3 linked regions of the Mytilus edulis genome follow. The protein of the gene in region 1 interacts with the protein of each later gene in a pairwise test. Links are inferred from orthologs where the notes say so. Each region holds a gene or a part of one and is shown on either strand. Other genes may lie near its edges.

The links. The genes of interacting proteins can lie anywhere in the genome.
Region 2: the proteins of prefoldin subunit 3-like (region 1) and prefoldin subunit 5-like interact in binary tests that used the Drosophila melanogaster proteins (3 or more experiments, as listed by UniProt). The link is inferred for Mytilus edulis from reciprocal best matches to the Drosophila melanogaster genes mgr and Pfdn5.
Region 3: the proteins of prefoldin subunit 3-like (region 1) and prefoldin subunit 2-like interact in binary tests that used the Drosophila melanogaster proteins (3 or more experiments, as listed by UniProt). The link is inferred for Mytilus edulis from reciprocal best matches to the Drosophila melanogaster genes mgr and Pfdn2.

The regions. Positions count from the first base shown.
Region 1 is NC_092353.1:54,815,229-54,825,805, forward strand, and holds the start of prefoldin subunit 3-like, read right to left. Parts: upstream 4,759-10,577; 5' UTR 4,689-4,758; coding exon 4,605-4,688; intron 1,587-4,604; coding exon 1,462-1,586; intron 916-1,461; coding exon 849-915; intron 1-848. Other genes in the region: cullin-5-like, read left to right, coding at 4,784-4,798, 8,135-8,241, 8,666-8,765, 9,808-9,990, 10,424-10,565. UniProt on the Drosophila melanogaster protein: Binds specifically to cytosolic chaperonin (c-CPN) and transfers target proteins to it. Binds to nascent polypeptide chain and promotes folding in an environment in which there are many competing pathways for nonnative proteins.
Region 2 is NC_092345.1:32,216,255-32,227,212, reverse strand, and holds the start of prefoldin subunit 5-like, read right to left. Parts: upstream 4,692-10,958; 5' UTR 4,648-4,691; coding exon 4,573-4,647; intron 1,411-4,572; coding exon 1,276-1,410; intron 946-1,275; coding exon 871-945; intron 1-870. Other genes in the region: uncharacterized protein, read right to left, coding at 10,446-10,451. UniProt on the Drosophila melanogaster protein: Binds specifically to cytosolic chaperonin (c-CPN) and transfers target proteins to it. Binds to nascent polypeptide chain and promotes folding in an environment in which there are many competing pathways for nonnative proteins.
Region 3 is NC_092348.1:41,976,999-41,988,407, forward strand, and holds the start of prefoldin subunit 2-like, read right to left. Parts: upstream 4,692-11,409; 5' UTR 4,658-4,691; coding exon 4,533-4,657; intron 1,794-4,532; coding exon 1,670-1,793; intron 1-1,669. Other genes in the region: cylicin-1-like, read left to right, coding at 4,923-4,954, 6,779-6,860, 8,664-8,839, 10,587-10,766, 11,072-11,306. UniProt on the Drosophila melanogaster protein: Binds specifically to cytosolic chaperonin (c-CPN) and transfers target proteins to it. Binds to nascent polypeptide chain and promotes folding in an environment in which there are many competing pathways for nonnative proteins.

The DNA.
Region 1 (10,577 bases):
ATTCTTTCTCTTCCTATCACTTTTTGTAAATCGAGAGTGAAAATTTTGATTATGAGCTAAATAAGTTTTGGTCTTTCTTTAGAAAGTGGTCATTATTGGCTTTAGTTTAGGTTTCATTCATTTAATGCATTAAAAACGGCATATTCATTCCAAATCTCTTGTCAAACATTGTTTATTTTCGTATTTTTTATTTTTCATTGCTTTCAGCGGCCATTTAATATTTTAGTGTAAACTAATGATCGGAACCGGACCAGATATGACAAAAATCCGTATTTTACAATAATAACTACATTTGCACAAATGGCAAAGTAAACCAAATATCTGAGACCTATTGCTTATAGTATTTGAGAATTAACCATGAAAAATTTACCTTGTTCGCTGATCCATGAAATGAGGTTGAGGTCAAGTGAAAACTATCTGACGAGCAAGAAGACCTTGCAAGGTATGCACATACCAAATATAGTTATCCTATTATGTGTATTACTCTTAATAAGACAGAAATTAAGAATACTAAAATCTATGAAAATGAGGTCAAGGACAATGGACATATGACAGATGGAAACTTCATATCATAAGGCTTCTATATATATACAAAGTATAAAGGATCCAGGTTTTCTGCATTCTGAAATATTAAGATTTTAAGAGTTTAGCTAACACCACCACAGCCACTGCTGGATCACTATCCCTATGTTGAGCTCAACAAAAACTAATTCTATGTTTTTAATTTCTCTGTCATATTCAATGTTTCCTTGCATTTGTTAATGTTTGCTTCTCTTTTTTGCAAATCTAAAATAAAAACGTTTCATGGATGCATGAAAAGAAACTATAAATAGATATGCTAGACTTACCTTCCTTGACTGTAAATGTTTAACTATGTCTAATGAAGTTTTAATGTCTGGGATCTGTTGTTTCAATCTGAAAACAAAACTTCTTATATCAATTTTACATTCAAAATGACTAATTAATCAATCGATTGATTAATTAATGTATTTATAAATTAATTTATTGGTTAATAAATTGATTGATTTAGTATTTGTTTTGTTTAGGTATTTGGTCTATTTATGCCATTTTGTGTTTTTTTATTGAAATATTTATTTGTTTTTAGTGATTTTATTACAATGTTGACATTTTTATCTTGTCTGTTTGACTCACACACTTTTGTCAAAATAATGGAATTATATGCTACTGTCATACAAGTGAGAGGATGAGTAAGCTATAAAACCTGGTGTAATCCACCAATTTCTACATAAGGAAAAGCCTGTACCAACATTTGACCAAGTCAGCAATATGACTGTTGTTATCCATTCGTTAGATGTATCCGAGCTTTTGATTTTGCTTTTTCATAAAAAAAGTCTTTTCATTTTGAATTTCCCTTGGATTCCCGTTTTTTTTTTTGTTATATTACTTTTCTTTCAGACATAATATTCTATATAAATTAAACATAATATCATGTAAACAAACCTGCTTTTCTTTGTTAATATATTATATTCCATAAATTTATATTTTCTATGTTGTTCATCCAGCCTTACTAAAACATTTTCAGCTGATTCATTTTCTTCTCTCTTCATAAAACTATCAACATCTTCCTGAAAATACATTAAAAGCAAATATATATCTTCCCAATAGAAATAATGATGTGATAGACATGTTAGGTATTCAAATGTTTAAGGGCATACGATACAGTTACAGGGAAGGTAATGACGTTGCTAACGTAAAATGTTATTTTCGCGACGTCAAACTATGACATATCGGGGAAAGATGCATTTTTCGACTGATTTTTATCATTCAAACTGTTTTAATTTGAAAATGAGTGCATGGACCCCTATTTTTTAAAACTGCAATTTGTTTCATTTTGCAAGGAGATTATGTGACCCAAATTTTATAAAACTGTAAATAGCGCATTTTTTTTAATTTTGATAAACATGCAGCAAAAAATGACGTTTTTTCCTCTATTCATGAACATTTGATAAATATGGAGTTATTTTGGAATAAAATTGCATAATTTTTAATGATACTTATAAAATACAAAAATTACCGATTATTTAACAAAAAACAATTTGTGTTTATCTTTTAAAACAAAAAAGTTATGTCTTTCTTTCGAAAAAGAAAATACGGACACAAATCTGAATTTTGAGCAAATATACAAAATTTCGACCTCATTTTACTCAAAAAGTAGCCCATGAAGGTATATTTTTTATTAAATATTTGATTTAATCAGATAAAAAATAGCCTATATATGCAAATTTTCATCAACTTGTAAATACAGGTTCAAAACTGTATCGTATGCCCTTAAACCCGCTGCATTTGTTTGCACCTGTCCTAAGTCAGGAAACTGATGTTCAGTTAGGGTCCTTCATAGCTTGCTGTTTGGTGTGAGTCAAAGCTCTGTGTTGAAGACCGTAATTTGATCTATAATGGTTTACTTTTACAAATTATGGCCTGGATGGAGATTTGTCTCATTGCCACTCATACTACATGTTCTTATATCTATATACACATTTGACTTTTGGACAGATATTCTGTTATTAGCGAAATAGAATTTAATGAATTGTAGTACAATTTTCTGTAAACTGGCAATTCTAAAAGTAATTGAACATGTTGGTGTATCACATTTGAATCAGTGTAGTGTAGCTCTAAATTGCTTATTGTACATATAAAAAAGAAGATGTGGTATGATTGCCAATGAGATAACTCTCCATAAGAGACCAAAAGACACAGAATCATGTACATGGCTTTCGATCTACGTGGATAAGAAAATGTTATTTTCTAACAGTTCATTATTATTGATTTCCAATTAAAATATAAAGCACAACAAATAAAAGATAGGTAGGGAACTATGAGCAGTAAATTACACAAATACTAGAGAAGTGGAACATATGTCAACAAGACAGCAACCCAACACAAAAAAATATGAAAAATGAATATTTTTAACAATAGTTTGCAAAGTTTACTACATTTCAAGCTCTTCATCATTAGACTCTCCAAGTCAACAAAAACTTATGAATCAAAGGAGAGAGTATCCTAAATCTGACAGCAATATTGGCTAAATGACAAATAAAAGTTTATTATAAAGATATAAGCAGATATTGTGTGAGTGTCAAAAAGACTAAAATTGCTAAATTAATAAATTCAAAGCTGATGTACCATAACAGAGAGGACGGTGCATCAAATTGACTGAAATGTTATCCAAGCAATTCCTATCAAACTATATCATACACAGAAAACATTGAAAATTGGTAATTAATTCTTAGTCACTGGACCATGACAACAATGGCAGGGTCTCAAAATAGTTGAGTTTGAGTTTTGTTGTTTTAACGCCACTTTTAAGCACCACATTGGGGCTATTTCTTGGTGGAGGAAGCCGGAGTGCTGGTAGAAAACCACCTACCTTCCATTGGAAAACTGACAATACTTGACAATTAACAATGGAGTCGAATGCACCCGCACCAGCGGGGTTCAAACTCACAACCTCAGTGTTGCCTGGCTATAGTGATTACAGCAGTAACTACTTAGACCACTCTGCCACCCAGGCCCCTGGGGTCTCAAAATAAGGCAATGATTTTTTAATTTGTTGGTTTACGGATCCGCCGACTCGATTTTGCCGATTTGCAGAATAAAAATAAAATTGACTTTTCATGCTTTTTTATTCCCGCCGACCCTAACAAAAACATTATCTCTAAAAATAAATAAAATTGACTTTTTTTATGAAATGAAATGCATTGAACACTAATGGAATTGATAACACTTTCTGTTGTGAATCTAAAACTTCCAATTAACGTATCTAAAAATAGACAAATCACTGACTTCAGCAGAAAAAGGTAACATTTAAAATTGCTAATTATTCAGTCATAACCATGGGGGCAGGGCCTCGACCTTTTGTTAATCTGATGTGAAGTGATAGTAATGCAACTGTCAAAAAAAATATAACATTGATAAATCACAAGAAGTTCCTAAAAAACAGATTTCAGCTGAATTTCTTTTCAATACACCTTATCGCTAATCCCGGCTGACCCGGCCGCTTGAACTTTTGACGCATACAACAATCACTTTTCCATTGTGGCGTCAGATATTTTGTTTTGAGACGTCAAAAATTTACGGGAACCTGTGTGATATCCAGTAATGGCGGACAAATAGCGATAAGGTGTATTGTTGATGTCGCCAACAACTGCCTCGCTCTAGGGGACTTTCGACTCCTACAAGACAAAATTCACACATCCTCGACCAGGCACAACAAGACCCCACTCAACATATGAATGAAAGAAGTATTGCAACCCAAGTAAAAGCATTAGGTCAATATAGAAAACTGCTGCATAATATCTAATACATTTTTCTGAATACATTCATGATCTATGTCAATAATCTACGTGCAAAAACCTATTAGTAAAAATGAAATAACCTGAACAAACTATCAAAAAATATATAACAGAGATCACTACAATTATTGAATTCGTGTTTTATTACAACTGCATCATGACACAACACGTGGGTATAAGTTTTTGTTTGGTCATGAATGTATGTCTATGGGGATAAATAAACAATAACAAATAAGTTTTTCAACTTGAAGGGTAAATAATGTTTCGTGTGTGTTGAATAAAGTGTCATACTACAAATTCTGCTAAAGGAATGCTCGAATTCGCCTTTAATTCTGATTTATCTGCAGAATCTGCTTTGGAATCACCCGTAGCCATGATGCTTGCTGAAAATAACGTGTATTCGGAAGTCTTCTCGGCCTTGTGTATCAATACACCGAAAACTACCGATAGATACGAGAGGAATTATAAATATGGCGATGTTGAGGGTAATGACTGAAAAATATCCTTCTTTGTTTATATACAAATGTGACACATATAGAATCTTCAAAAACAGTTTACGATAATGTCCAGTCCTTATGTCACATTATTATGTAAACAGCAGTATTTACCCTTCAGAATCGAGACAGTTCAGATTATGTTTTAAAAAATTATGTTGAGTGTTGTGCAATTTTTATTATTTTTATATATCTCTACGCCAATTTAACGTGAAACATAATGGTAAAGTTACTTCATATTTAACATTTAAGTCACAGCTTGTAAATATAACACCCTTTAAAAATGTTTCATAAAAATTCCTCAATTATAATATTTACCCATGATATTTACATACACCTTATCGCTAATGAGGGGGGATAGGACCTTTATTGGGACTCCGGGATCGGCTGTTTTTAAGCTCGGGATTTCGGGATTGACCCTTTCGGGATCCGGGAATTCTTTTTTTCGGATTTCGGGATGCCGGGATTTACTTTCTTTCATTTCGGGACCTCAGGATTTAGTCTTTTTGAGCCCGGGATTTCGGGATCAGGACCCCCCCCCCCCCCCCCCCCCCGCTAATACTGGCTGTCCGGCCGCTTGAACTTTTGACGTCCTACAACAATCACTTTGCCATTGTGGTGTCAGATATTTTGTATTATGACCTCAAAATTTTATGGGAACCTTTGCGATGTCTAGTAATGGCGGACTAATACTAATAGGGATAAGGTATATTATTAAATTCGGAGTAAAAGGCTTGTATATCATCATTATACTCCTCTGTTCTGTACTCCATATATTAAAAATCTGTTGTTATAAATATCAACCCAGTATATACATGTAGCATCATCCATCAAAAAGATTAAATTATGTATAATGTTATCGCGTATGAATTCATTTAAATTTACCATAGGCGGATTCAGGTGGGGGCCCAGGCCCCCCTTTCGTGGGAAAAATTTGTTTGATTATATAGGAAATCATCAAACCATGACTGGAGCGGGCTCCCCCTTAGGAAAAGTTCTGGATCCGCCTCTGTTTACTTCTTTATCATGCTTATTATAAAATCTGACTCGAAATTTGCGAACTTTCCCATAAATTTTCTGTTATTATGATTTTTATGTCGCAGTAAGAACTGATTGACCTTGTGTCAACCGGTGTAATTCATTCAAAAAAAACAACTGTTGAAATCAAGATTGGTGTTCACCAAATCACTTCGAAATATTTATATTTGGTTTGCTTTATCATGTCATCATGTGAGAAGGAATTATATTATGCTTTTGACAATCATATGTTTTCATCTTGCTGTTGCAGGTACATGAATATTTAGTGTTTCATTCCCTACATCATCTTGGAACAGAAAATTCATATGTAGCATACTTTACACTTTACAATACAGTAGTACAAAGACTCATAATTTTGCCATGACCATGATGAAATTTTTACTTTGACAAAGCCTAACTCATCAATTCAATTTTTCTGTTGTACATGCATATATACTATTTGAACTTCCATGACTCCATTTAGAAAACTTATGATAATATCACCTTTTTTTGTCATTAATGATGATTTCTACACACATCTTGTTAAGGCCAGACTTTTTTTATTATCTGTTTAACGAGATCCGCCGACTCTACCTTTCCCGATTTTAGAATAAAAATAAAAGTAGTGCTTCTTACTTTTATTATTATTTTTCCCGCCGACTGTTACGAAATCCTCAGAAAAAAATAAAATGTGTTGTTCACGATACTCGCTTTCAGTCAATTTTGTTATCGGTAATATTTAATTTTTACCAAGTCAACGAAACAGCAATTTTCATTTAAAAGTAAAGAAATTCAAGGCATAAACGATATATTTTCTTCTAAAAGATTTTTAAGCTGGTGGCATGCTTTTCATACTTGTTACACGAGAGCGAACATCAAATCATTCTAACTTTCGGCAAAATCAGTTATTACTTCATCAGAACTTGATGAAATTAGCCTAAAGTAAACTTGTCATCCATGTATTGCATTAGAAACGTCATATTCCTTTCCAAATAGCATATCAAACATCGTTTATTTTTGTAAATTTTTCTTCGTCTGACATTTAAATTTGTAGAACTAAGGATCGGAATCGGGATTTCATCGGAAACTGACCCGCTATGACCGAAATCCGGATTCTTGCGATAATGACTACAGACGCATGAATGGCACTGCTGACAGACAAAAAATGATCCCAAAAGGGAAAATTACGCATTCCACACGCATTAACATACTTTTGGTTAGATCTTCTTGATTAGTGTATATATTTCCATGTATAAGCATTGTTTCAATTTATAGGTTAAAGTAGCTTAACTCTGGGACTATTACACCAGAGACATATATACACATGTGTATATATATGTCTCTGTATACACTAAGAGGTTCCTGACTGGGTGACTGGTATATACATATATAGTGTATATGCAGCGAGGTTGATATATTTGAGTGGTGCCATGGATAGTGGAAATACAGAATCAAAACATAGTTTTTATGTTTATATTAATAGAAGGGTTAACCAGAGACATATATAAACTATATGTATTTATATTTCTCTGGGTTAATATACTGGTCTGTTCTCATTTCATTGTTCTTGTATTTTGATAAATTCTAAAAAAAAAAAAAAAAAAAAAAAAAGTCACTTATAATGGTTTTATTTTTATTTTTAGTGTCGACTGGACCAATTTTGCACTTTTATTTTTTTTTATTTCGCCCCCTCGACCCTAATTTTTTACAAATTTTCTCGTTAAACAGATAAAATAAAAAGTCCGGCCTAATGTTTAATTACTTTGAGTCAAAGGATCTTGATATACCTTGGGACTTGTCTGTTTTAAAACTGATGAGTCGAGTCTAAATGGGTCAAGGACTCATGGACTTGTCTTGGTGGTAACCATGCATGACCCAATTTGTTTCTGTGTAAAAAATGTATATGATTAGGGATTATAATTAACTAACTGTCAAATCTGCTTTTAATATATATTTACTGAGAAGCGGAACTAGGACTAATTTATAGAGAATGAACTTGGGCAAGTTATTGACTTTCATTTCTGTGGACTCTGTTATTTTGTGATGTTTTCATGGATTTTGTGGTTATAGGTCATGTAGTTAATTATGAATTTAAATGTTAATCAAAGAACACATTTTCAATACTAAGGCTTGAATGCAGAATTTGGCAAAATCACAAAATCAAATATCCATAAACTTTATAATTGTTCAATCCACACAAAAATGTATGAATAAAAAGTATCCATAAATAAAAATCTGTTCTCAAATAGTATTGGTTATAATGTTAATACATAAACACATAATACGAACAATGATTTTCATTTTTTTCAGCAAGGACAGTCTCAGTTTGAGGACCGATGGCCCTCCATGAGACCAACTGCCTTAAAATTACTCAGACAGGAACCAGTTACCAAAGCAGAATGGCAGGATCTGTTCTGGTAGGGTTTCCACTTAGTTTTATATTCTTATAAGTAAAAAATATTGTTAACACTGTTATACTATATTGAATATAGTTCGAATAAAATGAGATGTATGTTAGTTTTTTTAAGACATGCAACCTTACAATACAAGTCATCTTGACATCCAAGATTAGGTACCATTTTAGGTATTTATAGGATTTCTAGGTAGGCTGATAAAAAAATATTCATGGTTTTATGATTTCCTTACTAAGGTCTTTTCTTAAAAAAACATGTATCTTGGAGTAGTATTAATATTTTTGAAAGCCAATATACCATTTACACAGCTCAAATACCAAGCAATATTTATAACTATAAACATGATAAAAGCAGGCTGGCAAATAATCAAAGCCAATTAAAACAGTTTTATGTAACACCATGCTTAACACTATTTTGCTTTTTACAGTGCAGTACATTCAGTATGCCTTTGGGATGACAAAGGTCCACAGAAGATGTATCAAGCTTTACAAGATGATATACTAGAATTCATACAGCATGCTCAATCAGTAAGTTTTGTCAATATTGCTAAACGCATTGTTTAACAACTACATTTATTACAGAGTTTGTTTATAAAACTTCTAGTTTAATCTGTCAAGAAAACCCTATTTTTATCAGGGGATGTTTTTATGACCCACCTACGATAGTATAGGGGCATTATGTTTTCTGGTCTGTACGTCCGTTCATCCCGCTTCAGGTTAAAGTTTTTGGTCAAGGTAGTTTTTGATGAAGTTGAAGTCCAATCAACTTGAAACTTAGTACACATGTTCCTTATGATCTTTCTAATTTTAATGCCAAATAAGAGGTTTGACCCCAATTTCATGGTCCACTGAAAATAGAAAATGATAGTTGTGTGGGGCATCTGTGTACTGGGGACACATTCTTGTTTTGTAACTGTTGTGAGTTGTTGTTTTATGATTCAGGGATCTCGGTCATAAAACTTTACTCAGTACTCAGACTGCTCAATAATCATACTCAAAATGTTTATGACAACAAGCCTTATCCATGCCTTTATTGATTCATTCTTGTTATTATGCAACACTGAAAACAAACCATACTAACCATTATATCTGACAACAGGAATCACAAAAATCACTGGACAGCACAAAAGACATTAAAAAAAAGTAATACATACAAACAAAAGACCAACATTTAATTAATTAGCAATGTTGCCAAATATCAGATCGTCTTTTTCTTAATTTTGTATTGACATTTCAGACATGCCTCTGTGTCAACAGTTTATTTAATGATATTTTGTCAGTCGTATATACTATAGATGGATTTAATTGATGACTGTAATGTGAGACTGTTTAGTTATTAGGATATCTCAATTTTATGAATTTTTTCTTTCAAAACCAAACTGAATTTGAACATGTATTTAATTCAGTACATATATGCATGATATACAAATATAGGTAATGAGGAAATATATTCTATATTTTCCTCTCCCAACAAACTCAAGGTGGCCATTTTGAAAATCATTGATAAAGTTCATTCAAATAAAAGTGAGTTTACATTCTTCAATTCATTAAATCTGTTGGATAATTTCAGAGGGTATTAAAAAACCAAGAAGATTCAGCATTACTAAAAGCATACATAGCAGAATGGGGTAAATTCTTCACTCAGTGTGACTATTTACCTAAACCATTCATGCAGCTTGTTACCTCACTATCGGGTAAACCACATGGTAGTGTACCAAAGAAAACTCCAGGAGAGGAGAGCTTAGTTAGAAAGGTAAATTATTACTGTTACAATTAAAAATTGACACTTTTAAAGTTTACAACTGTCATTTAGAATGTAATTGATGACTGAAGAAAGAAACAAAGAATTTTCTATTCTTTAAAGTGTACTGTACATGTAAGTTCAGAAATTTTGCAAGGTTTTTATTATAATGAAAATGTAACAGGGGGAGTATTTATAAGAACTGGCATCCTGAAAAAATCTTAACACATACATTTATAATATATACAGCTTTTCCTCTAATTTGTTATCCCCCTGCCATAGCAGAGGGGGCATGAAGTTTTACCTTTATACGTAACATATGTACAACCGTACGTATGTATCTTCATAACATTATATGCAAGCGGGGGCATCATCTGTGTCCTATGGACACATTCCCCATTTAATTTTCTTCAAAGAGATTGTCATAATTTATTTTTCTTTACAGTTGATGTTAGATAGCTGGAATCAAAATATATTTTCTAATATCAAACAGAGGCTACAGGATAGTGCAATGAAATTGTTACATGCTGAGAGAAATGGAGAGGCTTTCGATTCTCAACTTGTTATAGGTGTTAGAGAGTCTTATGGTAAGTCCATGT
Region 2 (10,958 bases), on another chromosome or scaffold:
TTGATATGAGTTTAAATTAGTGACATGAATCAAAAGCACACTAATGTGCATACATTTGTAGGTGACAAGAAATTTATGGCTTCTATTTTAATTCCTTTACATGATTTTACTGTAACCTCAAAAGTATACCATTTGTTCTATTCAACATACATGTATCAAGCATATAGGTTGAGGTAGGCAATGTTCTTTAAAAGCAAATGTTTTGCCAAAAAGTTTTTAGTTTTTAAAATCTTTTAATAATCATGATAATACAATATTTGAAATATAATCACCAATCCACGTAATACCCGAGCCACAGTGTCTACATAGTGTGTGTGTAACTGTGCTTACATAATACATGAAATGCAAAGACTTATCATATCTACATAATATCCTGTCCCTATATCCACCATTACATTTTGTACATGAAATGCAAAGACTTACCATATCTACATAATATCCTGTCCCGATATCAACCATTACATTTTGTACATGAAATAAAAACACTTACCATATCTACATAATATCCATCCCTATATCCACCATTACATTTTGTACATGAAATACAAAGACTTACCATATCTACATAATATCCTGTCCCTATATCCACCATTACATTTTGTACATGAAGACTTACCATATCTACATAGTATCATTTCCCTATATCCACCATTACATTTTGTACATGAAGACTTACCATATCTACATAATATCCTGTCCCTATATCCACCATTACATTTTGTACATGAAGACTTACCATATCTACATAATATCCTATCCCTATATCAACCATTACATTTTGTACATGAAATACAAAGACTTACCATATCTACATAATATCCTGTCCTTATATCAACCATTACATTTTGTACATGAAATACAAAGACTTACCATATCTACATAATATCCTGTCCCTATATCAACCATGACATTTTGTACATCACTCAGCTGTCCTGGTACATATATCTTTATTAAGTTAAGATAAATGTTTATGGTGGCTAAATTATTGGCTTTATTGAAAATTAAGTTTTCTTAAACACTGATACATGTATTAATGTGAATGATTAAGAAATCTTAGTTTAATTTAAACTTTCTGTAAAATATCTGTGAGAATGTCCTACACAAACTATAAGCACACCTATTGAAGTTTGTTTAAATCCTTTGTCAAATCCCTTCCAAAGCCAAAGGACAGTCAGTATTCCCTTGACAATCTTCAAAAAAATATTTTGCAATTAAATACTGAATAAACTTTTTTTTTATAAATAAAAATAACTTTTGAGTTTGACAATAGGATACAGAACCAGTCAGAGGAACCAGTATATCTTTGCTCAAGCTTTCTGGTGAAATTTTGTTCAGACTCTCTTGAGATTCTACAAACTTATTTTGTGCATGCTTCAGCTGGTTCATGGAACTTGAGAATAATTCAATTTCCTGAAAATATAGTAAAACAAACATATATAACATTAAGTTAATCCTATATTAATGATAAAAGCACATGCACAGCACAACTAAGGAGACTACAGCAAACAAACAATACAAAACAGAAGAAACTTTTAGATGTCAAAATATTGTCTTTCTTCAACAATTATCTACATCTATACAATATAATATTCAATCTTTAATTCAGTATGATCACTTTTTTTTAATTCAAAATTGATTTTTGTAAGTGTCATGTACCTGCAACCCTTTAGGCCAAAATAAAAATATTGTATGTTTGCCCAAATCTGACTGTCTTAAAATAAAAACAACGCTGACTCAAATTCTTTTTTTGCCGTTTTTTTTCTTTTCTTCAGATTTTTTGGTGTCCACTCCGTCATCGTATAAAACTTAATGATCGTCGTCTTTGCGTTTGAAAGTAACTGTGACTAAGATTAAAAGAAAGCGTGTAAAAGACGCAGTTAATCGATATTCAATGTTCTGGGTATTTATCTTCTGATTTAATGAACGTACATTTAAGTAAAGAAGCAAAACATGTGTCATGGCAGTTTTTTTACGCTGTCGTCGTCTGTACTTCTTAAAATTAACCAAAAAATAAAGACTATTGTGTCTAAAAGGCTTCACCGCTTTAACAAAAGGAAAACCTGGAATGATGTTTTTGATGAGGATGCCGATCCTGATGAGATGGACATGCAGAAAACTGATGACGTAGTTGTTACTGTATCCAACAACAGTGGCTACAAACTTTCGGGCCTGACATGAGTGAACCTATTGAGGTTGTATAGGAATTTGACAATAAACTTAAGTTTGCTACTTTTACTGTAAAAAAAAAAATACCTTTCAAATGTTGATTTTTTATTCTAAGTCTCAGTATATGGACAAAAATGTTGATTTTTTATTTTAGTCTCAGTGTTAACGTTTATATGTTGTGTTTAAGTCTACACATTATAAATAAAGTTCAGTTTATTGTTGAGTGATTTAATTCTATATAGTAGACTAATTTATAGAGGTGTTAAATTCTGGTTTTTGATTGTTTGACGGAAAAAAAGATATACATTGAATTTGTACTGTTTTAACATTTTCATGCAAATTCTGATAAAAAAAAAGGAATTTGCCTACCTACCTACCCACTCCCAGTCATCATTTGTCGGGTTTGGGCAAACTGAAATATTTTTTATTGTGGCCTTAATTACTCATGTTTGGACAATTTTCACAGAGACCCATCAATTCAAGCCTTTTCTACATTCATTTTATAAACTTCCACATGAAATAGTTCTTTGATTTATTTTGTCTTTTAATACATAAAATGAATAATAAGATTATTACTTTCATTTTCAATTGAACGTCAAGTAATGAGAACCTTAAAGTGTAATTATTTGCTTGAATTTATTAAAAATAATAACTCTGATAATAAGCTTTTATTTTTTATTTTCTATCTAAATTGAATTAAATAAATTATAGAAATATCATAAATTTTTTAGCAAATATTTATATTATAATTAACAATTATTTGAATAATATGAGTTAATAACAATAATCCTTTGTTTATTTGTACAAGTATATATTTTAATTAATTTTAATTGGTTGTTAATAGATTTCACGATTATCCTCTACAATCTTTTCAAGTTCATTTAACCTCCCTTTGATCTTCAATATCCAATTTTGCTTCAAAATTCATTTTTCATTTTAAATCTTTAAGTATAGTCAATAATACAACTACAATAATACAACTCAACATATATCAAGTAAAATAAATAAAGCCAATAGTATACTTGGGCTAATTAACCGAACTTTTATCTTTAAAGATCAATATACATTTTTAAGACTATACGTTGCGTTGGTACGACCACACGTGGAATACGGAAATACAATATGGTATCCGCATTTAAAGAAAGATATTAATGCTGTAGAAAAAGTGCAGATGAGAGCAACTAAATTAATTCCTGATATACGACATTTAAGCTATGAAGACAGATTAAAAGTACTTAAACTACCTTCCCTAACTCACAGAAGGCGAAGAGGTGATATGATACAAGCTTTCAAAATATTAAAAGGATTCGAAGATATATCTTATGAAAGATTTTTTACTGTCATCAGTACAAATACCCGTGGGCATAATTGGAAATTAGCAAAACCTTGATGTAACACTTCTTTTCGATTAAGACATTTCTCACAACGAATTATTAATGATTGGAATAACCTACCAGTTGAAGTTATTTCATCAAAAACTGTGGAAGCCTTTAAAATTAGTATAGACTGTCATTGGGAGTCAGTCATGTATCAGTTAAGAAATTGATGAGGACACAAATAGTTTTCTATATAACTTTTTAATTCTCAGATCTGCAGTGACATCACAACATGTAACTGACCAATCAATGATTAGCATATATGTGTTACATAAACAATGCTGAGAGGTGATGCGGATAAGAATCCTCTAGATTTTCCATACACTTCAATGTAATTAATTTAACTGATATATATTGACACCAGTTGAATCTAGTAATTTTACCCACTTAATATTGTTAAAGACACTATATAATATCTCCATTTTGATTTTTATCATACTATATCCTTTGGTTAAAAAATAATCAACAATATAAATAATCAGTTAACACCTTCAAATAGATGAAAAATCTAGAGGAATCCTATCTGCATCACCCCTTGAAAAATTTAAATGCCAGGATGTCCGGATCTGAGAATTGTGTGAAATATTGCACCAAATCATGCAGGATTGATGATTGTATCAGTTTTGAAAGTGTACCAAAATAGGGTGGGCTAAAAAGGATAGGATCCTTCCATATGAGCCCCACAACGATCTTACAGGTATCTTACAGGTAATACTGGTACATCAGTAATGTACCAGTATTGCTGGGTTTTTTTAAAAGTGACAATACTGGTACAAAATTTTTATACCAGTATTGCGATCACCAACTACAGGAGATCCATGGGCTTGATAATGTAATATGTGGTCAGTTAAATGGGAAATCGGTCCCGATAGAATTCTGAAAAGGATTATATATAATTATTTAAAATATTTCATGTAATAGCACGATGTCGATGACAATGATCAAAAAGCTTATTCTATTGTAATTTCTATTTCGAATTTTGGTGTGCGGGTTACATAAATGTGAAACTTTAGTAATGCTAAGTTTGAACCTGGTCTAATTGTTTAGCCAATTGGTTAAGTTGTTCAATTGGCAACTGGGCGATGTCGATTTGTTGTGTCGCCATGTCGGTATTTTATCCAAGGGAAGTAATAAGTGGACAGAAATAGTTCAAGACCAAACAAAAATATAATATATATATAGTATAGGAACGGACCAAAATAAATGGATAGACGGAGGATCACTTATGAACTGCATGGCGTATCCAACAATACTATATTTCTGTTTTGAATAAGGAAAACAAATCAAAAAGGAAGATTTGATTGGATTTGGATTATTTCTATGGAATTATTTAAAAGTACATTACATTTGTATAATTTAGTGTTATCATGCAGCGCTTTATATTTCGTTCTCGATTTCGTTGTGTAAGGCTTAAAAATAATAAAATGTCTCTGAACTATAACTAGGTTAAATATTAGAATGGCCCATTATTATCCAAGGTAAACGGACAGAAAGTCACAAACAATTTGTTGATAATTTTTTAATATATATAAGAGAAATTAGGTCTCGAAATATTTACTTTTTATTACATATAGTTATTTTTCAGTGTAGCAAGGATTTGTATAGTGTTATTATACAAATCCTTGAGTGTAGTAAAGATTTACTAAATTTTAATAATGTAAAGGATATATTTCTTGGCACCATGAAGAACCAAGCCACTTTGACATGTTTCAGTCTTATCAATTCTTTTGTCATCTTTGCCGTTAGTAAATTTATAGCAAACCAAAGATGAAAATAATCAAGAGAAATCTAGTTGGCAACATCCAGTATATATAAGTTTGAATTAAACAGAAAAACTGCCATCAACACTTTATTCGATTCCATTTTCCCAAAAAATGATAAAGCTATAAATGTCAAATAAACCATTAGAAAATGACAGAAAAAAAATTAAGACAATATATTTATAGGCGTAGTTTCAATCAAGCTGTATACAGTATTTAAAATACATTTTATCGTTTGTGTACACAAGTAGATGACCAATGGTTATTTCGTATCAAAAATACATTTCATATAAAACTGAGAAATTTAGTATGAACTCATGCAGTAGTCTATAAAGTTGTTTTGAGTTTAAAAAGTAAAACTACAAAAATACTGAACTCAGAGGAAAATCAATTCGGAAAGTCCATAATCACATGGCAAAATCAAATAACAAAACGCATCAAAAACGAATGGACAAGAACTGTCATATTCCTGACTTGGTACAGGCATTTTCAAACGGATGCCATTTTCAAATATAGAAAATGGTGGATTGAACCTGGTTTTATAGCTAGCTAAACCTCTAAGTGTTTCATTTAGACATAAAAGCGGTATATACTGGTGGCACATCGCTTATATACTATAGCTAGTACTGGTTTACAAAGTTGAAAATAACAAGTTTAATAATTTCATGAGTCAGACGCTTTTCTGGGGGTGCATTGCATTTGCGCCAATTTTTGAAAATGACAATCTTTCATTTGCGCCACAAGGTTATATTTCATTTGCGCCAAAAAATAAAAACCTCATTTGCGCCATTTTCAGGTAATTCGGGCAAGCAATAACGGAAACGTTAAATATTCATTGCTCTAAAAGGTTTGTCTTTACAGTATTTCTCTGGATAACGGGATGAGTTCAATGCCACACTCAATTCTGAAGTTGAGAGTCACTAAGGTGTACAATTGTATATAGTGTTCACATGTTCGAGGTGTCAAAATGGACATTTTCTATTTAGACATAAAACAGGCGGAGAATTAAGTGTGTAAAATTTGATGACCACACTTTTTTTCAGATCATACGTTCTGAAAAATGAAGACCAAGTCGTTTATTGGGATCCCAAATAAATAAAACCTTGCAAAACCAGTATAACAATTGAAATGGACTGCAGTTCATGAAAAAAAAACGGTCTATCTTTTTTATCAATATGGTATGCACTTGAGAGGAGGAACTTTCCAGACATGAATACATCAAGGCCGTCGCTTACAAGTTTGGTGCCAGGGTAGACGTATAACTTTACAATAGTGTTTCATGCTTAGATTAACTCCAGTGTAAACTGTTGTCTTTCATATTTCATAGTAGGTGTTATGATAACGTTTATTAATAACAGAACTCTGTTTCATTAAGGTTTAACAATACTTGTTTGGTTTAATGTCGACTGATTTCTGAGGAATATATTTAATTTTGCAAACAAAAGCTTTTATTATCAAAAGTCTTTTTTTAAATATATGTTTTATGCTATTTATATGTATTTACCTGTAATATTGGCGCAATCAAAAGGTTTTATTTTGGGGCAAATGAAATATTGTTTGTGGCGCAAATGAAAGATTTTTTTGGCGCAAATGAAATACTAATTGGCGCAAAAGCAAAACACCGCTTTTCTGGATTTACTTTCATCAGGAACGCTCAAAGCCAACCATTTATGAAAAGAAATCATGACTTCGCGAAAATATCCACCTTACAGTACCTAGAAAGTGTCAACCTTACAGTATCTAGAAAGTGTCAACCTTACAATATATAGAAAGTGTCAACCTTACAGTATCTAGAAAGTGTCAACCTTACAATATCCAGAAAGTGTCATCCCTACAGTATCCAGAAAGTGTCAACCCTACAGTATCTAGAAAGTATCCACCTTACAGTCCCTACAAAGTATCCACATTACAGTATTAAAAAGTATCCACCTTAAATTACAGTATCAAAAAGTATCCACCTTACAGAGTCCAGAAAGCATCCACCTTACAGAATCCAGAAAGTATCTAGAAAGAATCTACCTTACAGTATCTAGAAAGTATTCAGAAAGTAGACACTTTACAGTATTTAAAAAGTCCACCTTACAGTATCTAGAAAGTATCCAACTAACAGTATCCAGAAAGTATCCAACTAACAGTATCCAGAAAGTATCCAACTAACAGTATCCAGAAAGTATTCAACTAACAGTATCCAGAAAGTATCCAACTAACAGTATCCATAAAGTATCCACATTTAATACAGTGTCAGACAAAATAATCATTTTACAGTTACTTATTAGTTTAGTTTAATTTAAACAATATGTTATGCAAACAAACCAATTCAATTTATTTGAATAACATTTTATTTAAATTAAACTAAACTAAATAAACCACAGTATCCAAAACGTATCCATCTTAAAGTACCCAGATATAATGCCTGTATCTGAGTCTTGTACCCAATGACTACACACTTAATTTCTTTAGCACGTGTGTGTGGTAGCGATTCGTATCTGATTCGCATGAAGCAGTTGTCATTTTTGGATGACCTGACTTGTGTCTATGTATGTAGTGCTGTGCTGTCCACAACCTTAGTCGAACTTGTCGGTGTTTACTTTAACAATTGCAGATCTCATCATGAAAATTTATAAATCTGATAGAACGACTAGTTTTATGCATCCTAAACTTCAGTAGACAGCATCATAGTTTGATGCAAGTAATAGCGTTGCAGTTGTTCTGTGCCGTAGATTCAATGATCGCACGAAACATTTGCCGCTGAACATTACGCAACTGTAAAATAATAAAATTACATCTTATTATTTTGTCTTATTTAATAAACCTTTTCAGATATGACCAGCAAAAATAAAATCAATGATATATGGGGTATATCCTGTTGTATCCTTTATTTCGAGTTGATCGGATAGATGCGCTCTGCATAGTCACTAAGCTTTGAATAATTCAATCATTGAAGCAACCAACATTAAGTTTAATTTCAGTATAAAGACGAGCACTTACAGAGTTCTTGACTTTCGTCGGCCGCGCAAATATTTGGTGGAGATAAAGTTAAAGTAGGTTTCTTATGTAAGAAAAATTTAAAGCGTTATTCTCCATAAAACCACTACCAAACTTAAATTGTGGAATTATGAGTTTTGTTGGCTTTATCAACTTTTACATATTTATTGACCATAAACTTACAAAATTAACTTCAAGAGGCTGTTAAAATGACAACAAACCGAGTTATCTTATTACCATTATAAGTGTCATTGTTAAAGGCTCTAAGGGTCCTAAATCATGGCCTGAACGACAAAATTGAAAATTGCTTTTATTTTGACAACAGTAATAACAAAAGTCATATAAAATTTGATGAAGAAGAAAACAATAGTTGAAAAGTTCTCATCTTATTGCACGGAAACAATAATCACATGCAGTGCTATATTCATATTATCAAATACTCCCAATACTCCGGAGAGACAGATGTTAAACTTTTCGGGCAGCAATTTCCAAATTGAAAAAAAATAATTTGCAACAATTACAGCCGATTGCATTGAGTAGGTAGGTAAAGGAAATATCTTTGCTTAGCTTGCTTGCTAGCTAGCTGAACCGTGAAGTCATTATTTCCTTTACCTACACCCAATGCAATCGGCTGTAACATACAAAAAGTTGAAAAATATCGGTTAAACGGTTCGCCATTTATTACACGATTTCAAACGACATAAATGCCATTTTCCAATCAATGAAGACCATCGCTCTTAATCGAAGGGCAAATGTGAAAAATCATCAATATCGAGCTTGACCTCTTTATTCATCAATAACAACATGTTAATTTTTGATAAGCATTGTTTTAATGGTTTTATAAGCTATTGCACAAAAACGATGAAGCTAACTGCCTGAACGCCCAACAATCGCCGTACACCCCATAGTTTGATTATTATGCACTTGCAAGTTTTCAGAGGTCACCTTGATGATTAATTACCTTTAATTACTAACACACGAAACGCTGATAGATATTACCGAGTCCATGCATTGTAAATCATTTATGTTAGACTTTTTATAATTTGAGTCAAATCGGTGAACAAGAATTTGACAGCTAATGCTCTTTTAATATTTTTACATTTAACCACAGGAACACATACCGGTAATATGAAAACAAGATAAAGTTAAATATCTTTTTTCCATCCAGTGTGTACCAGAGATAACTGTTTTTCTTCATTCCTTACTAGCTAGTTTTCATCAATTTGTCTTTAAAACACATACATGTTATTCCTATTTCCCTAAAAAAAACTTCAGTCGAGTTGCAGGTTGGGTGATTTTCAAGTTAAATAGACCAGGCTGGACTGAAATGTGCACACACGCTAACATTCACGTGTGATTTTCACAATATTTAAATAACATAAGTGAAATGTCTATATGGATTTATGCACATTGGTATTTTTACGAATATCTTATATTATAGAGCGATAGCATGAAAAATAACTGCACTTGTAAAGATTTCAACTTAAAGAGTATAGGATTGGAGTCGATTTCACAAAAAAAAAACTTACGACTAAGATTGATCATAAGTATATTGAATTGTGCACGGCTTACGATCAATCTTAGACATAGTTTTTTTTTGTGAAACTGACTATACTGAAGTACATCGATCTGGCACTAAAGGTTTATTATAAAAACGCCCAAGAGTTTAGGGTTATCATTGATTCTTTGGTGCGTTTTTTTTTTGTAAATTTTTTAACAACTATCATTTTTTTAAGATTGCTTTTTGGTTAAGTTTCTGTTTAACTCTCATCTTTTTAAGGTTGTGTCGAGTGCATCGTCCAAATGGGGTTATACTGAGTGATGGCAATAACGCATATAGGTCTATATGTATCTTTCACCCAATTGCTTAAAATAACAATAATATTTGTGTTTAATTGTTTATTCTAACAACCTTGCTTTACATATCATGTATAATAATAATAATTGACAACAGTAAATGACATCTATATACATAAACGTATCTTAGATACAACTATAAAATTTATTGCATTTAAAAAAAAAACATTGCGAAAGACATTTTATTGACTACGTTCATAATGATCGACTTGACTATCACCATGAACTGATAAATATAACGGACACATCCAAAATCTTTCTGTGCATCAATTCCAATTCACCAACATCAATGAAAACTGTTTTATACCTGAAAAGCATAAAATAGATAATTATTTTATATTTAACAGATTTTGTAATTACCTGTAACCATTCGTATTCTGATAGTTTGTGAAATAAGAAGGGAACAATTGTAGGTAGTATATATAGGTCCACATTTTGTTGTCAGAGTTGAATTTTTTTTAAATACAATTTGCATCATCAACCTAAATGAGAAATACAGACTGCAAATAAATTAACGGTAGCAACTTAATTTTCTACAAAGAAAACGTATGCAGGTAGATCAACTGACTCTCCATTGTTCCATTTAGTTCATTTAATGTTTTCCCATTATATGGGGTGTAACGTTGTGGAGATTCAAATTTGATCGATTGGTTGTTTTGCAAAACGCCAAGCGGCAATTTTATCGTGCACTTTCGGAGCAAGAACACACGAACAATTTATGAAATTGATAATATAGGTACAGTACCTGGCCAAAAGTATTCGTCACCTAAATTTCAAGTGACGAATACTTATGGCCACACTCTAGTTCGGGACA
Region 3 (11,409 bases), on another chromosome or scaffold:
CAATATTCACTTTACTACCAACTGATAAATTAAAGCAGTCTTTACCATTCATTGATTACAAGCACTTAGATTACCATTCGAGGGTTATGCCCCTTTACAAATGGAAAAATTGAAGAATTTTTTAGTTTCTGTTCTCTTAACTTAAGTTTGTCTCAACTAAATTTAATGAAATGTGTATATAATGCTTATTACCTCTAAACTCAGTTAAAGTTCCATTTTTGGCAGCTTCACCTTTACAGTTCTCGAGTTGTGTCCTTTTATAACGTTATATGCTAGTGGGGGCATACATTCCCCATCTATTTTTTTAGAAGTTACTATTAATTAATATTTATTTTAACCATGACTGTATGACATTTTACATTTTGATATTTTATGATATATTTAAATGGGTGGTTATTGTTGCAAACTCCATAAGAAATTTGAATTCAGATCTTTTTTTGAATAAGGGAAAGGGGGAGGTGAAGAAAAAAATGGGGGGGGGGGGTTCAATTTTTCTCATTTCAGATTTCAGAAAATAATAAGAAAACTTCTCCAAATTTTTTTTTTTTTGAGAGGATTAATATTCAATAGCATAGTGAATTGCTCAAAAGCAAAAATTATTTATAAGTTCATTAGACCACATTCATTCTGTGTCAGAAACCTATGCTGTGTCAACTATTTGATCACATTCCAAATTCAGAGCTGTATCCAGCTTGAATGTTGTGTCCATACTAGCCCCAACGGTTCAGGGTTCAACCATTGCGGTTCTATAAATCTCACCCTGCGGAGCATCTGGTTTATTAATTAAATAGAAAATACTAATGCCAACTCAATGTAAACAAACATTTTCTCAATATCTGACATTCTGATATTTACATCATTTGTCAATATTAAAGAAAGGAAATGAAACTTTTTAACACATCATGCTCATTCGAACTGGGTTTTTTGGGGGAAATTAAAACATTAAAATCTGCTGGCAATGTGAAAACATCTTAAAAGTGCTTGTGCTGAAAGTTGCTTTCTTTTTACCATAATTGAACCATGAAAAAACTAGCTTGATTGAGTGTGGATCATCAAATTAGTACCCCTTAAATGTCAATTATTTACAATAGACTCCATCTAATTGAATATCAGCTAAACAAATATATATGCGTGTATAGCAATATTATTTCAAAACACCAAACCCTTTCCTATATCATGTATATATTAATGTAAACTTTATCATGTAATCAATCATCAGATATAAGTATATATCGGCAAATCAGATAGGAATATTCACAAAAATAAGATATTTTCAATGTTTTTTTTTATTCAGGAAATACATGTAGACCCTGAAGTCTGGCTATTACAATCTTGAGAAGAAAGTTTTGTTTTTCTTAATACAATTTCTGAATGATCTGATGTTGTTTTCAAGATCTTCTTTTGTTATGAGAATTATATACCTGTACAGTTTAAATGGTTTGAATTCATTTACAAATACAAGTGCAGTATGTTCAAAGAATTTTGAAAACATTGAGTGTTCACAGAATCAGAAATATAATTTGAACTGAATGTACCTCTTTCAAACCAGAGAAAAATGACTTTTTGCAGATAAGTGAGTTTCTGTATTTTGCTGATACATGTATACATGTTAAGTATCTGATTTACAGAAAGTTTAATGTACCCACTACATGTATATGTATACACTCACCTGTTCTTTATGATTAGTTAATGCAGGTAATACACCTTCTACTGTATGTTCTACTAACACACCTCCTACCATCCTAAAACATTTTCTACTAGATTCTGTTTCTTTTAATGTATCTATAACTATTCTGAAAAAAAAATATTAATAAATATTTAAATATTTTATTGAATAAATTCTAATCAAATTTTTGTTGTATTATTGTATTAAACATACATATATTACTTGAAGAATGTGCTTCAATCACAGAATATATTCACCTGCCAACTGTCACTATTTGCAGGGGATTTCCCCCATGGAGGCTTTGAATTGGAAATTTTGAAATAGCAATTTCTCCACAATTTCACACAAAACAATCATTTTTACCATTGGTATAGCATTTAAAAAGCATAAAGGAGCAAATTAACAACATTAAAATAAATTTGAAGGCCCCTTTAAGTGAGTCTCATTCGGGTCTAAGCATGACACAGGATTGGCTGATTTTTTCAAGCGTGATAAATGCAAGTTAAATAATCAAGTATAAAAACAGGAAATAGTCTGACAGGACATGGGAAATTACATGCGATATTATGGCAATGAGAAGCGGGATACTGGATTCTCACTAAACAATAAGCAGACCAAGATATCAGACCACCCTTAGGCCTTTAAAGTTTTTGTAGGACTATGACCTCCTTCTTGCACGTAAAACCCTGATGGGCATTTTGAAATGTTGGCAGGTTTGCTTGTCGCTAATTAGTGAGTCCCTTATAAGTATTAACTACTTTAAATGTACATTTGTAGGTGACCCAAATAATCAAGTCATTATTTCACTCTCTTCTCTGCAGTGCCAGTGGAGAACGAATTAGGGTCTGTTCCCCCTGATTCACATTCGCCATGATACCTGTTCGCCCAGGGTCCATTCACCCTGATTTTCATTTTTTTCTAATTTTTTCTCCTAAACCGAATAAACCAGTCATTATATTCCGACTCACTATCGATCGCTACATTGAAAGGACACTGACCGATAGAGGGCGCTGAATCATTCGAGTTAGTTGTCTACTCGCATAATTTTAAGTATTTGAACAAAATATGTTACATATTTTACCATTTATTATGTATAACAGCCAGTATTACGTTTACCCTGTTGTATTATGAGATTACTTTTCCTTGTGTTTTAGAACAATAATATATTTATCTTATAATTTGTTTTTTTAAAACTCTCTTTGTACAATATATTTTATTTAGTGTATTGCCTCACCTCTGCTGGTGGACTATTAGTCCTCGAGGGCATCACCAGCCCAGTAGCCAGTACTTCGGTACTGGCATGAAAATACTGATTTTTTGTGTTATTAAAATTTGCTGTTACAAAATGATAGAAATTATTATCAATTAAGGAATGTATCTCCCTCATGCAAAGCTCTGATTTCTTTCACAGATTTAGCTATAATTTTTGGACCTTTTGGATTATAGCTCTTCATCTTTTATATAAGCTTTGGATTTCAAATATTTTGGCCAAGAACATCACTGAAGAGACATGTATTGTCGAAATGCGCATCTGGTGCAAGAAAATTGGTACCGTTAATTTTATTAATGATATTTATCATGTTTATGCATACTAATTAAAGATTAAAATAAATTAATGACTATCTTGTGTTTTCAACAGGTGTTCACTATTTACAATGATTGTATATTCTGGCGCATGTCACTGTGATTGTATAGTACGTACGCAGAGCAAACATGTTATTAGGGCGAACAGACGAATTACAGTTATCCCGTACCATTGTAAACTCGTACCAACGTCAACTCGTACCACTTTAAAAAATCTCGTACCAATGCAAACTCGTACCACTGCTAACTCGTAACAACTTAAATGCATTTAAATGGGTTTTGATGATGTATATTATTTACTTTCACTCAATACCTCTCAGGAGGTCTGTAAAATGTATATAATTTGAAAGTACAATGACTAATTTGTAGCTAATCATGTCCCTGTCTATTAGATAGAAAATACCGTGGCAGATTTGCTTTGCTGTCGCCTTTGACTCTTTTTCAAAACTTTTACTGATAATTATTGAATTTACTTTTTAATCCTTCCAAATTAATTCTTCATGAAAAAATCCTAGCAGTTAATCAAAATGATTTCAAAAATGAAATTCTTACTATTTATAAATAACAAGTTACAATGAAATGTAACTGTTTCCTGTTCCCGAATTTTCCCGCCAAAAAGCACATGGCTTTCAACAATCGTAAACATAGCATTCGATTTGTGATCATGGATTACAGCATAAATTGATTTAATTTGGATAATTTGGATATAGATATTCAACTTAAGGTACAGTTAAAGCAATGTTTTACTTTTACTTTCTTCTGGATTATAACTACTTTGAAAGATCAGCTTAAAGCTGGGGCTTAAAAAATAAAGCTTTTTTATTCGTATTTTTGTCTATTAAAATCCAGTATAAAATTCAAGTAATTCAACATTATTTTTATAAAGTTTACAAAAAAATACCATAAAATATTCGTAATTTTTAATATATTTTTGATGGTACGAGTTTGCAGTGGTACGACTTCCCAGTGGTACGAGTTCACTTTTTTGGTACGAGTTAACATGGTACGAGTTAACTTGCTTCCGAACAGACCTGTTACCTGGGGAACAATGACCGAAAGGAGAGCTGTGATTATTTGAGTTATCGATTTTATTAGATCTTTGGACAAGAAACTTAGTTTTCATTTGATATCAGTAACTTGATAACACAAGATTTTGTGATGACAGTTACTACCAAGTGTAAACATCATCTCCATGCAGTTCTAAAAAAAAGTTGTCTCCCCCTTTTCATCTAAACACGTGGTTAAAATACAAGTTATATAGAAATAATTATGGAGAACTAACTCGTGTTCCTTTAAATCTCCATTAAGCTCTGATATTTTGCCAGCAACAGCTCTTTGTTGTTGTCTTAATTCCTGAAAACCAGCAACTATTTGCTCCTGTGTTTTGCCTTTTCCTTTCGCAGCCATTTTAATGCTCGTCGTCTAAGAAAACGAAAAGTGAACACATAAACCAATATTTGGAATTGAATTTGGTATTTTTTAATTAATTTGTATTGAAAAGCCAGGTTCAATATTATTTTAGAATTTTAATCACACCTATGAAGAACTGGCGAAAAGAATTACAAAAACATATTGTTCGTTTTACAATAAGATTTGGAATTTTTATAAATCCTCACTTTGTTTACAGATGGCGGCGAAGTAGAGAGATGTTCAAACTAGAAATCGACTTGTCATGATTTCTCAGCCGAGGCCAACTCCAAAAAGGTTTAGGCATACCATTTTGCATTGAATAACTTTTAAAAGCATCTCTCATCACAAGCACAACACTACTGTTTTTAAAATATTTCATTTTATAATCTTGTTGAAACTTGTCTTGTGTGTCACTTTTAGTTTCAGAGAAAATATTAAAGATTCTCAAAATGTCAAAAATAAATGTTAATGATTTAAGTATCCTGACAAGTCACGTTTTTCATTTTTTTTTTTAAGGAATTTATTCTACCATCTTTGTAATATGAATGCAATACACCTTAATGCTAATTGTCCACCATAATCACTGGACATCAAAAAAGTTCCCATAAAAATAATAGAAAATATCTGACGCCACAATGGAAAAGTGATTGTTGTATGACAACAAAAGTACAAGTGGGTCAGATCCTGGGGTCAACATGGTCAATGGCAGCCCTCAATTTAGTCTACTGAAGTGGTCGCCTGGGTGACTTTTTAAAAGCTGATTGGCGACCAAAAATTCATAACTTGTCGCCATACACCTAATCGCTATTTGTCAGCCATTACAGGATATCACTCAGGTCCCCAACTCCCCATAAAGTTTTGACACCATGAACGAAATGTCTGACGCCACAATAGAAAAGTGATTGTGTATGACGTCAAAAGTTCAAGCCCCCGGGTCAGCCAGGATTAGCGATATAAAGGTGTATTAAAGCTTTTAGAATATTGAAAATCTGTCAAATGGTAAATTTTCTGAAATTTTGCCTTGATCGGAGCTGAGTTTTAAAAACCGTCTGAGTGCTTGACATGTAACACAAATGAATACAATATTTCAAGTGCCTTTTAGAATTATGCTGGACATTGTCAGCGCTTTATTGCATCAGGTAATTGTAGATCATTTTCGTTGACTGAAAATGGCTCAGATCTATCTAATGATCTATCTTCATATTTCCACACTCAGTTACAACTTTGACAATTGCATGCCATTTAAAAGAAAACCATTGGCATTTTTAGATTGTGTTTATTGAAATTAAAGCACATGGTAGAGCAGTGTCTCGATTTCGTCAGTAAACATGGTAAATGGATTGAAACAATGTCCCCGACCAATGGGGAAATCAATAGTGCTTAGAAACTGCACAAGTCCAGTGAGATTTTTACTAGACTGGAGCTTCAGACTACCGGTTAACCTTGCAGACTGTTTTAAAACATGTACAACGAATATAAAATTAAATAAATCATGTAGTTAATGTACAGTTGATTTATATAAACTATTTTCTACACTAGAACGCAAAAATCACTGAACAGAAACTTAATCATGTTAATACTCTTATTTCACAAGCCTGGTTGTTTAGATAGAGAAAAATGCAAGCATTCTGAAATTATTGCCTTATCACTGAAATTTTGCATTTGCCACTAAATTTTCATGTCTGGTGACCATTTGGCAACTACATTTCAAAGGCTACTTTGAGGGCTGAATCAGAAAAGACTTAAAAATAGTGATAAGGTGTATTTGCCATTATTTGGGAACTGTGACGTTATGTTCTACATGTATTTTGCTAATTATCATGATTATAGGAGTAATGAAGACCATCTACAAAAACGACAACTCTTGTCAATTTGGACATTTTGATTCGCCTTCATAGCTAACTCTTACTCACAAAGTATATTATAGGGGCATTAGTTACCATTGGCAGGTCTAGATTTGTTTTATTGTTAAACCATACTACATAAAGAGTGGGTGTAACACCTTGTACAAATAGGGGTATTTTAGTCCAGTCATGCCAGTTATTAATTGTAATAGGAAGTATGCATTAATCAATGATAGTGTACTTACCGTTCTTTTATATTTTTTTTATTATACAGAGATCCTTTCTATGTAGATCCACCTCCTAAAGCACATTACCATCCATCAGAAAAGAAAAATCTCTCAGAAAAACAGAAAAAGGTAGGAATAATCATGTACTTGTATTCAGTTTTAATATTTAAAGGAAGAAAAGTCTAATGAACAAAAAGTGTGACCAAAATGATTAATGAAAATTTCAGTCTGCACCAAAAACTTCAACTACTGGGGTCTGAAGACCAATATTCTGACATTTTTCTTATTGAGCCAAACAAAGTTTTGCAAAAACTTACTAGTCCGAACAAAATTTTCGTAGTCTGGGGCATATGACTAGTGGAACCGTGCAGACTGAAACATAAGATTAAAGAATACTACAATAAATTTGGAAAAATGATAATTAGATGGAATAAATTTTTCCTAAACAGAAGATAAGTGGGTATAAGATTGGAGATTTTTGTCTGCCTCCATATAACATGTATAAGTATGTTTATGATTAAGCACTTAAGATTTTCTAATAATATTATGTAAATAATTTATCAATATTTGCATTTGTTAGAGAGCATTTATATGTAATGTTATAAGTGATTTAGGTTTTATATATTTTACAGGGAAAGACCTAAATCAGGGCAATGGATTTAAGTTCAGAGTTTTTGTCCTATTGTGTAATTTTCCATAACTTTAGTATTGTCTGTTACATGTAGATCAGTATATTATTATATATATTTATTTAGTATACCTTTTTACAATTTATAAATTCTATTACATGTATTTGTACAACTACATGTAAGTGATGCATGAGTGTGTATCATATTTGTATTTACTTGTAATATAAAGGGGTAATAAACACTTAAAGAATGAATACTTTGGGATATCATATTTGGAAATAAGGCAATGAACCAACAACACATAAAAAACAAAATACAATGTGAACCATTTGAGGTTAACTCATGGTTCATTAAGTTGCATGTGTCATGTGTCTGTAACAGGCTAAGATATATGATTGCATGACTAAAACTAAATGTGAATAAAACAGAGACAAGCAAAAATCTCCCACCAACTACACACTACCCTTATCACAAAGTGACATACATGTATTAAAGATATAACACGATTGATGGATGGATGAACATACATGTTGTTTTTAACATCCAGTTGCAAATATTACATGAATATCAGGACCAGAACATGTTTATGATTATAATTTGAATATGAAACCTTTGCACAAGACTGGCATACTGAGCTGCATTTTCAGATGCTAGTCTACAGAAAGAAATGTCTCCCATGACAACAGACACTTAAGGCAGGATATAGCCCTTTGCGGCGTTTAGACATAAGTTGACCAAATTCCTGATTAAGAACAGACAAAACTCATTTTCATACTCTTAATGATAAGTAAGAAAAATATGCAATTTGATGATTAGCACTTATTTTTCTAGGAATTGAAATTATATATTTTTAGTGATGCATGAATTTATATTCAGTTGTTTACATAAACATTTTGAGATAATACATTTTGATTAGGATATAGTGTTCTTATGTAACTTGTAAGGAGTAGTAATCAAAGGATTTTGGCAAACAAAATATGTGGGATTAATTTAGAGTTTAAAATAATAATCTTGACTTGAACTATAATGTATCTTTATTCTGTTGTTTACAAAAAATATCATTTAAGGATGGTTATTTTTTTAGAAAAGATATAAATTATATATGCAGCTGCAGAAGAATGAAAAAAAGGTTTAGTTTTGCAGCAACCTTTACCTTTTTTAATTTCATGTTTAACATTTATAAGTACAGGTTGTTATTATATATGAAAAAGTTCCAATTGAAATGAAAGCTCATATATATATGTTATTGTTGATACTGGTTTAATACAAAGTAATATAATTTGTGTTGTATTTTTACTTTTAGACATCTATCAGTCCAATTAGATCAAGTACCAGAAAACGGAATGAAGACGAAAGACTAAGTTATAACGATGAACTTTTTTTAAAGGGAGGTAACTCATTCACACCGAAAGCTAACCAGGATGAATCTGGTTCTTCACATTTTGATGAATCATGGCCAAGTACAGATAGGCCACTAAGGTAAAATATTTGGTGTATAATAATGGTGAACAAAGATGTATATAACACTGATCACAGTCACACAGGAAGCTGAAGTAGACAAGATTAAAAAATAGACAGAAATATATATAAACTTCAGTATCAAAATAAACCTGATTTTAAATTTATTGAAATACAAGAACATTATTACATAATTGAAGATATATCCTGCTGTGTTCTAAACTGACAGAGTAAGATTTTTAATATTAAATGTATTAACTAGTTCTAAACGGCACAAATATCTTTAACAACTTCAATGCTTTTTTTCATTATTTTTTCTCATCAAAAAACGATTAAATTTTGGAATGAAATGATACTCACTGGACTCTGCTGTCATATTTTTGCTGAATATTTTGCATCTAAATTTAAGTTTGTAATGTACAATATTTCAGTATAACAGATTTAAATTTAAGTTTGTAATGTACAATATTTCAGTATAACAGATCTAAATTTAAGTTTGTAATGTACAATATTTCGGTATAACAGATTTAAATTTAAGTTTGTAATGTACAATATTTCAGTATATCAGATCTAAAGTTAAGTTTGTAATGTACAATATTTCAGTATATCAGATCTAAAATTAAGTTTGTAATGTACAATATTTCAGTATAACAGATTTCAATTTAAGTTTGTAATGTACAATATTTCAGTATAACAGATTTAAATTTAAGTTTGTATTGTACAATATTTCAGTATAACAGATCTAAATTTAAGTTTGTAATGTACAATATTTCAGTATAACAGATTTAAATTTAAGTTTGTAATGTACAATATTTCAGTATAACAGATTTAAATTTAAGTTTGTAATGTACAATATTTCAGTATAACAGATCTAAATTTAAGTTTTTAAGTACAATATTTCAGTATAACAGATTTAAATTTAAGTTTGTAATGTACAATATTTCAGTATAACAGATTTAAATTTAAGTTTGTAATGTACAATATTTCAGTATAACAGATCTAAATTTAAGTTTGTAATGTACAATATTTCAGTATAACAGATCTAAATTTAAGTTTGTAATGTACAATATTTCAGTATAACAGATTTAAAGTTAAGTTTGTAATGTACAATATTTCAGTATAACAGATCTAAATTTAAGTTTGTAATGTACAATATTTCAGTTCAACAGATCTAAATTTAAGTTTGTAATGTACAATATTTAGTATAACAGATCTAAATTTAAGTTTGTAATGTACAATATTTCAGTATAACAGATCTAAATTTAAATTTGTAATGTACAATATTTCAGTATAACAGATCTAAAGTTAAGTCTGTAATGTACAATATTTCAGTATAACAGATCTAAATTTAAGTTAAACTTTGTAATGTACAATATTTCAGTATAACAGATCTAAATTTAAATTTGTAATGTACAATATTTCAGTATAACAGATCTAAAGTTAAGTCTGTAATGTACAATATTTCAGTATAACAGATCTAAATTTAAGTTTGTAATGTACAATATTTCAGTATAACAGATCTAAATTTAAATTTGTAATGTACAATATTTCAGTATAACAGATCTAAAGTTAAGTCTGTAATGTACAATATTTCAGTATAACAGATCTAAATTTAAGTTTGTAATGTACAATATTTCAGTATAACAGATCTAAAGTTAAGTTTGTAAGGTACAATATTTCAGTATAACAGATCTAAAGTTAAGTTTGTAATGTACAATATTTCAGTTCAACTGATCTAAAGTCAAGTTTGTAATGTACAATTTTTCAGTATAACAGATGAAGATCATCCTTTGAATAACATAATATTTCAAAATGGTGGAGATAAATATGCTGATTTAAAGAAAACATTGCAGTTTCCAGAGAGGGATCCTCCAGCAGACAAAAGAAAATCAAATCTTATGTCACAGAATGGTAATATGAGGCATGACAGTTCTTCAACGTTACAAAAGTAAGTGTTATAAAAATGTACAAGAGTTGATTCATTGATTGTATTATTAAATGTCAAGCAAGCATGAAGATGACTATTTTCATAAAGTTAAACTTTTCCCTGTACTTTTGAAGGCACTTTCAATCAGTAATATTCCATTGAATTTTTTTTTTAAATGGAATATCTTGTAAAATTATTTTTAACCACTAAAGAAGTGATAATATTTTTAAATTGTGTAATTTGGACAGCTCAAAGAAGTATTGCCTAAACATAATCAATATGAATTAAGCAAGAATATATTTTTTGACCTTAAACTTGAATTACAGATATATTGAGAGATTTCGTTCAGGACAACCAATGAGTCGTGAGGAAAGACAGAAGGCCTCATCATCTGCTCAAAGAGATTTTTGGTGGTTATCAGATAGATCTTATGCTGACAGCTCCACACCAAAAGAAGACAGTCCTGGTGCAAAAAGATCAAGACGTTTTACCCCACATTCTCCCATAAGCCCATACAAAGGTCATGATAAAGGGTGTGGGTACAAGAAACCAGAGTTAAAGGTTAATATATGGAAATTACAACCTTTCAAAAAGTTATACTATTTCACATGTAAACACTGGGTATGTGCATAATGTCTTAAAGACACAAACCACCCATGATATA